2 linked regions of the Tamandua tetradactyla genome follow. The protein of the gene in region 2 purifies or fractionates together with the protein of the main gene of each other region. This does not show direct contact. Links are inferred from orthologs where the notes say so. Each region holds a gene or a part of one and is shown on either strand. Other genes may lie near its edges.

What was found. Proteins that work in one complex are often made in the same cells at the same time.
Region 1: the proteins of RFC5 (region 2) and ATAD5 purify together in Homo sapiens (affinity purification with mass spectrometry; 4 studies listed by BioGRID and IntAct, counting the BioPlex papers as one, with this or other methods). This does not show direct contact. The link is inferred for Tamandua tetradactyla from reciprocal best matches to the Homo sapiens genes RFC5 and ATAD5.

The regions. Positions count from the first base shown.
Region 1 is NC_135332.1:50,843,336-50,850,746, forward strand, and holds the start of ATAD5 (ATPase family AAA domain-containing protein 5), read left to right. Parts: upstream 1-4,393; 5' UTR 4,394-4,777; coding exon 4,778-4,843; intron 4,844-7,411. UniProt on the Homo sapiens protein: Has an important role in DNA replication and in maintaining genome integrity during replication stress.
Region 2 is NC_135331.1:18,313,101-18,320,676, reverse strand, and holds the start of RFC5 (replication factor C subunit 5), read right to left. Parts: upstream 3,010-7,576; 5' UTR 2,867-3,009; coding exon 2,805-2,866; intron 1,884-2,804; exon of another isoform or gene 1,227-1,883; intron 1,155-1,226; exon of another isoform or gene 1,052-1,154; intron 137-1,051; coding exon 72-136; intron 1-71. UniProt on the Homo sapiens protein: Subunit of the replication factor C (RFC) complex which acts during elongation of primed DNA templates by DNA polymerases delta and epsilon, and is necessary for ATP-dependent loading of proliferating cell nuclear antigen (PCNA) onto primed DNA.

The DNA of each region.
Region 1 (7,411 bases), on a different chromosome or scaffold from region 2:
TTAAAGAAACATGGCTACTGGAACACAGCTCTACAGCTTCAGGCACTTCCCCCTAGCCTAATACACTTTAATCTAAAAAGGGGATATCTATATAATGTGTAAGAATAACCTCCAGGATAACCTCTCGACTCTGAAATCTTTCAGCCACTGACACTTTATTTTATCTCATTTCTCTCTTCCTCTTTTCGGTCAAGAGGACTTTCTCAACCCCTTGATGTTGAGTCCCAGATCATTCTAGGATTTCTGTCCCTCATTGCCAGGGAGGTTTACACCCCTGGGAATCATGTCCCACGTAGAGAGTGGGAGGGCGGTGAGTTTACTTGCCGTGTTGTCTGAGAGAGAGATAGGCCACGTCTGAGCCACAAAAGAGGTTCTTTGGGGGTAAGTCTTGGGCCTAATTTGAAGCATAGCCTGACTACCTTCTAAAATTGCAATCTTTCCCCTGGCATTCATTTCCTTATCCCACTTCCTGCTCTATTTTCTCCTCAGCATTTACCCTTACCTATCCTACCATATATTTTACTTATTTATCAATTTTATTATATGTCCCTTCAATCAGAATGTAAACTGCAAGAGGTTAGGGATTTTTATCTGTTTTGTTCATGCTGCTTCCCGGTGTCTAAACAGTGCCTGGCATATAGTAGGAACTCCACGCTATTTATGGAATGATGGACTACCACAGATGGTGACACTGAGGTATGGGATTGAAAAAGGAGGGTATTAGTTAAAATCAGAGTGACATCTTCCAGTTCCAGAGTTCTATAACATGCAGTTAGGTGACCTCTTCAAATAGCCCCTACCCAACTGCAAGATATACAACTCTTCCACAGTTCTTGAAACTGGAGGATAAACTGAATGGTCCCAGAGAAAGATCACCTCATATTGACAGTTGGGAGGCCCCTGTGAAGAGGCAGCAGACTCCCCAGACCCACAACCCCCAGGACCAGAAAACTATTGGATTAATGCCTGGCAAAGCAGGGGGCCTCTGGACCCTCCTCTAGCCCTAAGTGCCAGAATCTGTTGATTCTTTGGTATTTTGACCTACCTTTCATTGATTATTTTGACTCTCCTCTTGGGCAGCAGGTAATAGATATATAGAAACAAAATAAAATAGAAAAAAAAAGAGGAGGTACTTATCAATTCCAGGAAAAGAAAAAAACTTGGAGGCGAAAGTAAATCACTTGGATCAGTTGTAAACAATATTTACATCATCACAAAATGCAAAATTGATGATTGAGTTAGTAAAAAATTGCCATATAAATATAATAGAAGGGGGGAAGGAGAGAAAGTGTGAAGGGTGTGGTATAAGAGAATTTAATTCTCAGTCACCACAACAGGAAATTAATGAATATGTTTAATGTAGTTAAATCAAGAAATAGCTGTACAAACATATTATATATTAAAAAATAAGTTATTTATATTGTGAAGTGTTGAAATTGGTTGTCTATGGGAAAGAGACCCAGGTTGTGAAATAGCTATATTTTTATGTTTTTTAAAATGTTCTTTGATGTTTTTAACAAAGTGTAGGCATTACTTTGTTAAAAATGAAAAATAATTAAAGTAGGGTTTATGAAAAAAATAGGAAAGATACTCTAAATGACACGAACAAACTGTAAACTCTAAGTTGCTATACAAACATGGAACCCATTTAATTTAAAATTGATAAATACCATGAGTTCCTAAATGAGGGTTGTGTAAAATACTAATTACATATCTAGAAACAAACTCAGTGCATATGATAACAACTCAAGGCAGTACAAATGCATAACATTCAAGAAGGATAAAAAGCCTATAGACATAACCTATAACTTACTTTGAGATGTTTATCCTAGGGAGACATTACACGTGTGTTTAGGGGACCTAGACAAAAATATTCATTCACTCACTGCTTGAGTAACAGAAAATTAGAGACAACCCAAATGTCCATCTCTAAGGAAATACATAATTAAAACGTGGTGCATAGTTGGATAGAAAACTCAGGAATGAAAGGGAATAGATGAGATTTGTTCTAGTTTGCTAGCTGCCAGAATACAATATACCAGAAACGGAATGGCTTTTAAAAAGGGGTATTTAATAAGTTGCTTGTTTAAGTTCTAAGGCCGAGAAAATGTACCAATTAAAACAACTCTATAGAAGTGTCCAATCTAAGGCATCCAGGAAAAGATACCTTGGTTCAAGAAGGCCGATGAAGTTCAGGGTTTCTCTCTCAAGTGGAAGGGCACATGGTGAGCACAGTCAGGGCTTCTCTCTAGGCTGGAAGGGCACATGGTGAACATGGCATCATCTGCTAGCTTTCTCTCCTGGCTTCGGGTTTCTTTTTCATTTATTTATTTATTTATTCATTTATTTATTAATTAAAAAAATTAACTAACAACATTTAGAAATCATTCCATTCTACATATGCAATCAGTAATTCTTAATATCATCACATAGATGTATGATCATCATTTCTTAGTACATTTGCATCGATTTAGAAAAAGAAATAGCAAGACAACAGAAAAAGAAATAAAATGATAATATAGAGAAAAAATAAAAATAAAAAATACAAAAAATATATATAAAAAAACAAACAAAAAAAAACTATAGCTCAGATGCAGCTTCATTCAGTATTTTAACATAATTACATTACAATTAGGTAGTATTGTGCTGTACATTTTTGCATTTTTGTATCTAGTCCTGTTGCACAGTCTGTATCCCTTGAAGCTCCCCGGGAGGCGTTGTCCTTCTTCATCTCCAAAGGTCGCTGGCTTGTGGACTCTGCTTTGTGGTGCTGCAGCATTCTCTGCTCTCTCTGAATCTCCATTCTCCAAAATGTTTCCTCTTTTATAGGACTCCAGCAAACCAATCAAGACCTACCCAAATGGGTGGAGACATGTTGTCACCTAATCCAGTTTAACAAACACTCTTGACTAAATCACATCATCCAGGGAGATGATCTGATTACAGATTCAAACATACAGTACCAAATAGGGATTATTCTACCTTTATGAAATGGGATTTTGATTAAAATATGGCTTTTCTAGGGGGCATACTTCCGTTCAAACCAGCACAAGGTCTACATGAATCATGAACAGCTCTTGAAAACAATGTTGAGTAAAAAAAACAAGCAAATGAGTGATATCTACAGTGACACCATTTATTTATAATTTTTTTGTACATAAAAACAAAAGTAAAGATTTCCTATGGATACATATGTGTATGGAAAGCTATGAAAAAGATTGCAGCAGTACACACCAAATAAATAATAGTGGCCACCTCTGGGAGAAAGGGAGAAGATCAAGTTCAGGGGTAAAAGTCAAAGGAAATTTTTAGGTTTTTTTCCTGTAATTTTCTCATTTATTTTTCTTGTTCTTTTTTGGGACAATGTTCATATACTCCCTGAGTTATAAAACATATATAACAAGGGAACAGAACAGTACATTAAACATTAAACATTATTTTTAAAACATTAACATTAAGCAAAACATTAAAGAAACAGAACAGAGCATTAAAGCAGTAGTGTTTCTCCTCCTGAAAAATCTTATTCAGAGCTAATTTTCAAAGAAAACGTAATTACCATTAATTTCATTAGGGAAACATTTGTATGTGCTCTTACCACACAAATTACCTCCCACTTCTGATAAGACAGCAACAAAGACCCTAAAAGATGGTCACAAATACTTCAGTAGTTAAAAACACTTTGCATAACACTGGAACAGGTGGCTTCCCATCATTACTTGATTATGTCCTTTCTCTCTGTCGGCTCCTACACACTTGATTCAGTTTTTACATACCCGTCAGTTAAAAACTTATGCTTTCCAACAAACATTCATTATGTTTATGTAATTGCAACTTTCACGTAAAAGAAAAAAAGACTAAACAAATCCATAAAAACAATGGAAATGAAAACAAGGTTATCATTACTACTAACAGCAAAACACTGGTATCCTGCTTGGACTCCTACACTGCTCAGAGGACGAAATCCACAGGGAAAACAAGTCTTCTTAGCCAAATTCGGGGTATAAACGTAAAGCCAAAATCTCGGACCCCAAATGGGCTTATCTCGAGGTATGACTCACGCCAAATAATTAACATATACTGGGTGATAGGAATATAGTAATTGTTACTTCTTTAACAAAATTTCCACTTTAAAAAAGGATCCGGCCTGGAGCGTCAAGAGTCTAGGGTTTTAGTTTTATCGCCGACTAGGTGATCCAAGTCAAATCAAGTCCTTACATGTGAAATTGGACTTTAAGTCACGAGAAATTCGAATCTTTAAAATTCCGGTTGACATTAAATTCCTCGGTACTAAGATCCTGCTTCGGGCCAGTTCGCCAAGAGAAGCATTTTGGCTCCTTTGGCTCACCGTCCGTTCAGATCTCGGGAAGCAACACTAAGCTCCGCCCCCCGCGCGCCGGACGGCGCGAAAACCCAATTGACTAGAACTCCTGCTAAACCTTTCAGGACTGATCTGCGTTCGGTCAGCTTTCCCCGCCCGGACCCTTCTAGCCTTGAAGACTCACCCTAGAGCGCCCGCCTAGGAGGCACTCGGCGCTCACTGGCCGCGCCCCAGGGGTCTCGCCGTCCGCGCCTTTTCTTCCCCTCTTCCCGCGTTCGACTCGGCCAAGCTCGGCCCGGGCTCCGCGCGCTCTTCGGCGGGTGGGCGCAGGGAAATCCGAGACGGACCGGGAGACCCAGCTCGGCTCTCCTCCTGGAGCAGGCCGCCCCCATGGCCTCCAGGCAGGCCAGTCCGGTTCGCGAATGCTCCTAGGAACCGGGATACTGGGAAGCAGGGAGCATGGTAGGGGTCCTTGCCATGGCGGCGGCGGCTGCTCCCCCTCCAGTGAAGGACTACGAGATTGAGGTGCGGTCGAGTGTCTGTCGAGTTCCTTTCTCCGGCTGTTGGGGTTGGGTGGGTGGAAGGTGATCCCGACTTTGCAACTCTGAGGCGGAAGGGAAGGACATGGTGAGACCCCCAAGTTATGATCTTGTGCCTAGACTGTGTCTCTTTTTAGAGTTGTCTTGACAAACATTGCGGTTGTGCGATGTTTGGGGGGTCACGGTAAATCTGGATTTAGAATGATGATTCGGCCAGTTACCAGAGCCTGACATGTTCGTGGAACATGATGTTTTGGACTTGTGACATGTCATGGGGTAGCCGAGAGACAGGTTCTGGTTTCATGATATAGAGCCATAGGACTTTAGCGATGAAAAGGATTTTAAAGTTCACCTAGCCTATCCTTCTGTCTATTTTAGGAATGCCACTTAGTGTCAGTACTGGAATTAAACAAGGTGCTTAATAAAAAAATCAGTTTCTCCTGGCCCTAGTTCTTATGCTACAATTAGAAATTCAGTGTGGCATACTGACATTTCATGATTTTGTCAAGTTTTAGTGAAGTGCACTAAGCATTCATTATAAAGAGAGTCTAGTGCCGCTTAAGTAGTGGGCTAGCATCTTAAGGTAAACAGTTGCTATATTTTTACGTCTTTTCATCTCAGGTTAGCATTCTAACTGAAATATGTGTCCTGGTGTCCTCTAAGTGAGCCGAGATGTATGCACTTTTTTTTAGGCTTTTTTTTTTTTTTTTTTTTTTTTTGCATGGGTAGTAACCGGGAATCGAGCCCCGGTCTCCGGCTTGGCTGGCAAGAACTGCCTGCTGAGCCACGGTGGCCCGCCCTAAAATGTATACACTTTTAACCGCGACCATTTCTTTTTTCTCGGAGTTGGGTGCCCTTTTTCCCCCTCTTTTTGTTTTTATTTAATTATTATTATTTTTTGGAGTTGAGTGACTTTTGTATGCTTGAAAATAGTTATGCTGATACTAGCTACTAATTAGCTAAATCAAGGCAGTTCTCAGCTGGTCTCAGGTTTTGTGATGGTCTTTTGGTAGTTGAATTACACAGTTTTTGATTTGTGTGTGGTCAGTTTTATCAATCTTTTCCTTATGTTTTCTGCTTTTGGTAGCCTGCTTAGAGAGCTTGTATAATTATAATGACACTTACTTTTGTATGGTAAGGGTAAGGGCTTTATAAATATTATTGCTTAATATTGCTTAATATCAACCCTGTGATGGAGTCCACAAAGGAGAAGAAGGTTAAAAAGTTTAATTTGGTACAGTGTTAATAATGGTGGATCTGGGTATCTTGAAGGGTGGGGGTATGTTGGAGTTCTCTTATTGGTTTTGTATTATTTTTGCACCTGTCCTATAAGTTTGAAATTATTTCAAAATAAAGAAGTTTAAGGGAAGGAAAGGAAAAACTCTTTAAAAACAGCAGGTTTAATTTGATTAAGGTCACACCCAGTAGATGTCAGAGCTGACAGCTGGTAGATCTGACCCCACAGGCTGTAGTATAGTGCCTCTAATATTGTCTCAGGATTGTATCTATACTCATCAGTATTTTCTTCTAGTGTATTTATGATTTCATTGTAACAAATACGGTTTTAGTTTGTCTGATCTTATTTTGTTTCAGGTTAGAAATTTGTCCCAATACTATTAACTGTGTCTTTTTCCACTAACTTGATTGCTATTAGTATCATATATTAAGGTCTTAAATATTTACTTTATTTTATATATAGCAAATATATTATACGGTTTCTGAGTTTTTTAACCCATTCCATTAAAATATCTGCCTGTATCAGCACTACACTTTTAATCTTGATAGCTGTATAATACAATTAAGTTTCCAGAAGTATAATTCTCCTATTCATTACCTCTTAAGAATTTCCTTGTTATTTTGATAAGTTTATTCTAACAAACAGAGAAGAGAGAATTAAAGAAAAAACCAATGGAACTTTTTGTACCCAATAAGTTGATATCTATTTTCTATCATAATAAAATTTGTTTATAATATATAGAAATATATATATAGATTACTAACTTATGATCAACAAAAAAGATAGTCATGTCTAACATTATAGTAATCTTTATGCTGTGAGTGTAATCACTAATGTAGAAGGAAGATAGTGGTTGTTTTAATAGCAAATTAAAATAACAGACTTGTAGTAAGTGTTCTTCTGGTGATGTTACTATATTTTCTGTTTGATTAGTAAATATTGTGGGATCCTGGGCTTGTTCATCATGTTCTTGTTTTTTTTTTTTTTTTTTAAGTACAGCCAGGATAATGTGTTTAACTAAAACTTACCTAGATAAAAGTTAAAAAGGGATGGAACAAACATTTGTATTGTCCCTATCATGTGTCAGACTTGACATATTTTATCTAATACATTCATTTTAAGTTCTGTAAAATTGGTGATGCTATTCATGGTTCATAGAGTAAACAGAAGCTGTGAGAGATTGATACATTTACTCATAAATACAGTGACCTTGGAATTTTTTTTTTTAGTGTGAACATTTTATATAATGAAAAATACACTTATAAATTATAAGCGTACAACTCATTGGGCACTGGAATTTAAATATAGGTTTAACTT
Region 2 (7,576 bases):
AGATGACAGCACCAAGAAATTTATATAGTTTGTTCGACTAGGATAACAGGAACTGATATACGGATACTTACTGGTACTCAAAATGTCCTGATGAGAAATGAGATCATTCAGTGTCTGTGGCCGGTATTTTTCAACCCTGAAACACAATTTAGTATGAATTACAACATATATGAATGCAAGCACGTTTTGTGTTTGCAAAAGAATCCTTTCATACCCTAATTAAAAAAAGAGAAACAGCAACCCACTAAATTTTAATACAGTCCAGTGGTTTTCAACCAGGGGTGCTTTTGTCCCGCAGGGAATTTTTGGCAATGTTTGGAGACATTCTTGGTTGTCACAACTGGCTACTGGCATACAGGGAGGCTGCTAAACATCCTACGATACAAATGATTATAGAGCACCTCACCACCACCCCCAACACAAAGTATTTGGCTCAAAATGTAAAAGTGCTGAAGTTGAGGAATCTTGTTCTAATTCTACCTTTCTACCTATCTGCCTATAATCTCAACCTGCACTGACTATTTTAAAGTGAACTCAAAATTGAACTCCTACCCCAATTCCATCAACAGATGAATGGATAAACAAAAGGTGGTGTCTCCAGACTTGGGAATATTATTCAGCTATAAAAAGGAATGAAGTACAATGGAAGCTACAACATGGATAAACCCTGAAATCATCAATGCTAAGTGAAAGAAGCCAGATACAAAAGACCACACATTGTCTGATTCCATTTACACGAAATCTCCAAAATAGGCAAATCCATACAGACAGAAAGCAGATCAGTAGTTGCCAGGGACTGAGGGGAAGGAGGATGAGAATGACTGATTAACAGTTTGGGGTTTTCATTTGGAATGATGAAAAAACTCAGGAACTAGATAGTGGTGAATGTGCTTAATGCCACTGAATTGCATACTTTTAAGATAGTTACAATGGTAAATTTTACATTATGCGGTTTTTTTTTACCACAATTTTAAAAAAATGCACTCTTTAGGTAGCCTTGTGTGAGAGCTCGGGGCCCAGAAGCTATGTTTGAAGCAGTGGGCACACCAACATGTCCCATGGTTCCAGCACAAGTTTTGACTGCCACATTATTGTTTTTTCACCTGAGGGCCGCCTCCACCAAGCAGAATATGCTTTTTTTTTTCAGGCGCATGGTCCGGTAACTGAACCCGGATTTCCAGCATGGAAAGCGAGCATTCTACCACCGAACCACCTGTGTACCCCAGAATATGCTTTTAAGGCTATTAACCAAGGTGGCCTTACATCATACATGTCAGAGGGAAAGACTGTGCAGTACTTGTCACAAAGAACAAAGTATCTGACAAATTATTGGATTTCAGCACGGTGACTCACTTATTCAAGATAACCCAAAACATTGGCTGTATGATAACAAGAATGACAGCTGACATTAGATCCCAGGGAGGGAGGCTGCTATGAGGTATAGAAACGCAAGTATAGCTATGAGATTCCTGTGGACATGTTGTGTAAATGAACTGGAGATATTGCTCAGGTCTACAGAGAACGCTGAAATGAGGCCTCTTGGATGTTGCATGATTTTAATTGGTATAGAGGAAGAGCCAGGCCCTTAGGTGTGCACCTGTGATCCTGCAGGTTACTACTGTGGTTTAAAGCCACTGCAGCAGGAATTAAACAAACCAAGTCAACCAGCTTCCTTGAAAAAAAAAAAAGTAAAGAAGAAATCTGATTGGACATTTGAACAGACAGTTGAAACTGCAATTACACACCGGTCTCCTGTTCTATCAATTGATTCCAAACCCTCAGAAATAGAAGTTGGAGTTGTTACAGTTGAAAATCCCAAATTCAGGATTCTTCCAGAAGCAAAAACTGATGCTCACCTTGCCGCTCTAGCAGAGTGGGACTAAAGAAACTAAGTACTGTAATTTGTTTTCTGAATCCATGAAGCCACTTGCCTATGCGTTTGGTAAAAACAAACCAATATTAGGGAGGCCTCTGTATTGAAAAAGGAACCTCTCCACTCCTACCCCTGAAGTGATCAGGACTCTATAAATAAAAACAGTGCTTTATTTGGGGGATTGCGTAGGATGGAAAGGGAAATGCAGTCATTATACCAAAACAATTTGGAGTTTCCAAAATCTGGCCAAATACAACCAAAGCATCACTAAGCATATGGATGTGGAAGTAGGATGGTTAAGAATGCAGGCTCTGAATTCAGACCGCTTGGGTTCAAATCCAAGCCTATTTTCTGCCTTTAGGACCTCAGGGAAGTCATTTAACCTTTTTAAGGTAGTTGCTTCATCTGTAATATGGGAATAATAACAGTACCTACGTCCTAAGAGGTTGTAAGGATCACAAGATTTAACGCACGCCAAACCTCGAATTGGCTGTGTGTCGCAGCCGTTTTATAAATGGTAACTAAAAGGCGTTGGTACTTTATTGTTTAGCTTAGCTTAGGATTTGACCAATAACGGTTTTGAAGATTTTGGCTGTCGAAAGAGATGAGGGTAACTGGGCATGGAAACCAATGAAGGGAGTCAGAAGACGTGGGATCGAGTCCCTGTGCTGTCACCAGGTGCAAAAACAGCGTTCCTCTTCGGCAAGGAAACTGAGGGTGAGGGGAGACCTGGCAAAATTTTAAGGTCCTGAACAGAATGGAGAGGGATTGGAGAATTGGGGGATGTCAAGGCAAACCTGTGTGAGTTCCGCCCCGGCCGCAGGTGCGCAGGAGGGGTGAGGTGGGCCCGGGCCCTGCCACTTTCTACCCCCACCATCCCCTCCCGGTGCCACTGATTTATCTCCCACTGCGACCGCAGGCCTCCTCCTACCAAGGTAGGTTTCTGCTCTTGTTCGCCGCAGGCTGCTGCTGCTTGAACGCTGAGGTCTCCATGGTGGAGTGGGGTGGTGCAGTGACACGGTCCGCGGCGGTCGTCGATCACCCCCAAACGATTGCACAGCTCCCCTGCGCAATCAGACCCTGGGACCCCAGCACTTAAGAGTTCGCGCGCAAAAGCAACTCTCGCGAGACTTGCTTTCCGGCTTCCGACTTCCTCCTTCGGTCCCGCCCCTTCCGTTGCTAAGGAGCGGGTTGCCTGGTTACCAGGGGGCGCAGGCCGCCTGCCTCCCTCCAGCTCCGCCCTTGGAGCCCGCGCTGTGCTCTCTCCATGGCAAGCAGCTTCTGAACCCAGACAGAAGGAGCGGGAGAGGCGAGGCCGTCCCCTGAAGCCGCCAGTCATTATCATTTCAAGTAAGGGTCTCACGGTCAAGGCCAATTGAGCCATCCTCTGACACATCATCAAGGTTCAAACACTTACTGTTCAAAGAACCGAAAGCTGCCGGGGCTAAAAATTCCGGAGGAAAAAACAACTCAAGTGATGCGGCCAGTTCTTGAATACAGATGCCCATCTATAAAAAGGCTCCCAGTACCTTTTGCTCCCATGGTTGGGAGGTTCAACTTGAAGTTGAAAATCAACCCCAAACAAACACAACTCCAAACTGCCTGTCTCCCGAAGCCTTGTCTCACCCCCAACAGAATTTACAGAGGATGAACTTCCAGAAAACAACCCCAGGGTGAAAACGAGACAGGGCCCTAGTGATCTGAAGATACTGAAGAAAATCGATATCAAAATGTTGGTGCTTTTTCTTTAACCTGAGGGGATAATGAATCATTTTTTTCTTTTTCTTTCTTTTTTTTTTTTTGTTGGCTTGCATTTCCCAGCAGCGAGCATGTATTACATCTGTAATAAAGTTGTTTTGTTCTTTTTTAACAATATGTGCAGAAAGGCAGGATTTACTGGGAGGAGATGAGGCTGGTCCTGGTGTCAGTAGAGTTCTGATGGAGACTTAACTGCATTCTTTGCACCTGATTACATCACTGCCACCTGCTTTAGAACAGGATAGAGGGGCAGTGGGCAAATATAAGGTAGCAGGTATACCTTTATCCTGGCTCTTACCTGGGGACCCAGAAGTAGCTTCAGATGTAGCTTGTGGTATGACAGTGCCCCGATCCCCTGCTTCCTCTCAAAGGCAACTTTAACAAGGGCAGCTGGGATCGTTTGCATGCCATCTTTTCCGCTTAGTCTTGGCCAGGTTGCTTCTCTCCAAGAATGCCTTCTCCAAGGTGGTTCTGAGGATTAGATGAAATAACACCTAAAGCAGCCGGCATAGCCCACACAGTGCCATCTCAGTCTCCTTCCTTTCTAACACACTTTCCGCTCATCCTGCTCTTGTTTCAAAGACCCCTCCCTCCCAAATCTAAAGGATTGGATGGCATGACAATGTTACAACTGGCCAGCTGCTGAGAGGCCTTTGCATTAGAAACATGAAGCCACCACATCCTTGAGCTGGAAGGTGCAAACAAGATTGGAACAAGATTGCTGGGAAGTGCAAGCCAACAAAAAAAAAAAGAAAGAAAGAAAAGAAAAAAAGTGATTCATTATGCCCTCACGTTAAAGAAAAAGCACCAACATTTTGATATCGATTTTCTTCAGTATCTTCGGATCACAAGGGCCCTGTCTCGTTTTCACCCTGGGGTTGTTTTCTGGAAGTTCATCCTCTGTAAATTCTGTTGGGGGTGAGACAAGGCTTCTGGAGACAAGCAGTTTGGAGTCTGTGTGCACCTGTTGTTCAGTTTGCTTGGGATGCAGGATTCTTCTGGGTGATGTTATATCACATATTTACGAAGTCCTCTATTCTGTAGCTCCCTAGTGGATTGTAAACTCTTTGAAAGCGGGGCATTTGACTTATTCAGCACTATACTCCTGGTACCTGAACAGTGCCTGGCTCAAAGGAAGCATCATTCATTGTTCAATGAATGAATGAATGAATGATAATAACTAATATTCATTGAGTAATTACCATGGCCCAGACATGGCTCCAAGTGTGTTGTATTTATTATATTCACTCAATCCTTGAACAAGCACAAGTTACTATCATTGGCCTCATTTCATAAATATATAAAGTATCTTGCTCAAATTCTAAGCTCACAAAAGGGGCAAAACTGGATGTTAACAGGACAATCAGATTCCATAGCCCAAACTATGGAACTACATTAGTGGTTCTCAAAGTGTGGTCCTCAGTCCCACTATATTAGCATCCCAGCAGAACTTGTTAGAAATGCTAATTATCCCTCCTCTCCCCCAAACCCACTGAATCAGAAGCTCTGAGGGCTGGGCCCAGCCATCTGTGTTGTAACAAACCCTCAGGGTATTCTGAGGCACTCAAGTTTGAAAACCACTTCACTATTGCTTCTCAGTCCTTGAGCTCTACATGACTTCACTTTCTAAGAAAAAGAATGGGCAGCCACGTGAGTACTCTGGAAAAGCAAAGCTATACTAATAAATGCCATTTGTAGGGGGGGGGGGGTCTTTGCTTGTTCCTGTTTTTGCTATTGAGTAAAGGTATAGTCCTTTGGGAAAATTACTTCATAGCTCTTTGGACCTCAGTATTTGCACCTGTAAAGTGGGCAGAGAGTAAAGAGTAAACTAGATCAGTGACTCAGCCCTGGCAGGACATTAAAATCACCAAAAATGCCAATGCCAGAACTCCACATCAGACCAATTAAATCTGGCCTCAGGACAGGACCAGGCATTGGCATTTTAAAAACGCTCCCAGGTGATTCTAACATTCAGGCCAAAATTCAACAAACACTGAAAAAGCCTATTATGGCAAACTTACTACCCTTGCCACTGATTGCCTTCATGTAAACACATGACCCAGTTCTGCCCAGTGAGAGTGAGGGGAAGTCAGCGGGTGTTTCTGGAAGATTTTTTTCTCATTACTAAGAAAAAATTTGCTGATGTTATCCCTGGATGATCTTTGGGTTCTTTCCCAATACCAAAATGTTATCACTTTAAAGGAAAAGGGAGCAATACAGACCAGAGTTACAGACCCAAATGCCTGGAAGTTAATACAAAAAGAAAGAAGTTCGGGAGGAAAATCTGCTCTGCCTCAAGGGACAGAATTTGTGGAAGGACGGCTTCAGCAGAACAGGAATTTGAGCATCAAGATATTGGATAGCTTGCAGACTCTCAAGCAAGGCTGGGGAACTTCGCTTGGAAAATGGGCAGGGACAAAGACAGGCCATGCAACCGAAACCATGGTCAAAATTACTCCACGGAACCAATCTAGAAAGGAGACTGCTGCTGCGGTCTCTGGACCCTGTCGCTTCCCACGCCCCCACCCACCTCCAGAAATTGGATCTCACTTTCATCACTTCCACTGCCAGAAAGAATTCTCCAGTTCTTTTCTGTCCCGGGTTCTTCCTAAAACTAGCTCTCCATCTAAAAGCCTAGGGGCACATGCCTAATTGGCCAAGCCTGTGACTCAAGCTTGTGAGTCCCAGGTTTATAAGTTTCAACGGTGGGAAATGACATCTGCCTCGCACCATGACCACAACATGGGGACACCCCAAAACATAGGGGAGGGGTTCAGATGCTGGAAGCCAAAAGTATCATTAGCATCCATTATGCAAGAATTCAGCCAAAAGGGACAGCAGCCAAAAATTGCCAGTTCTGATTTTTTTCAAGAGAAACCAGAACTTTGGATTTTTGTATAAAATACCTGCATTTTAAATGTTGGCAGCTAATTAGAAAAAAAAAAAAAACACTGCTAGCCAAGCAAAAACACTGTACAGGTTTGTGACTTTTGATTTCAAGGGCAAATAGGCAGGCAAAACATGTATTTCTTCTTACCTTCACCTGTCTGATTTTTAGTCCTTCTGGAAGATTAAAGAGCCGGTATCTTCATGTGAGTCGTGACGTTAATGAGCACAGGCTCAAACTTATTATATCATTGAAACCAGATTTCAAAATGCTTTAAATAAAGGATCAAGTCCTGGAGATGGCAGGATCAGACATTACAAACAAAATTACCAACGAGAAGTATTTGCACTTGAAATTGGATTAGGAAAGGGGAGCCCTGGATTTTATTACTCTCAGTTTGGAACAAACTTGGCTTTGGACACAGCACTTAACTGCCTTCGTTTATTTTTAAGACTTGTTCATAGGAGGGAATGGGATGTGAGGCTATCTTTGGAAGATGCTGGCAGAAGAAAATCAAACTGGGTCCTTCTCCTGGTGAAATCATGTTTAAATGAAGAGCAACAACTTGAAGGAGGAATAAGTCTCAGAGGACAATTGGAAGAGTAATACAAGGGACAGAAGGTCCTTCTTCTTTGGTGACATCCACAATCTCGTGGATTGATTGGGGCTTTAAGTTTTTGGGTCTTGGAGGCACTGGTCCCCTCAACTACTTTCCCTTGTCAGAAGCCCAAGAATTCCCCCCATCAGTCCGTAAGGACCCTAGTTCACCATACCCTAAACATTTGTTGATTGAATAACTAATGCATATTTATTTATCGGTTCCTGAATCTGATTCTACATCTGAAATTGAAAGTATGACTTGCATGCATTTTCTCCATGACCACCTGGGTTCAAGAAAATTCACATTTCTTCATTTCCCTAATTTATATAGCTCTGGTTCAAGGTCTTCTGCCAATGCTCCCTCAGCCAAAGTGCTTTGGAAATTCAGTCTCTTGGGTTTTAGGGGTTAGGCTTCTTCCCTTCTCTAGGATTATTCAGGAGGCCTGGGAAGTTACAGG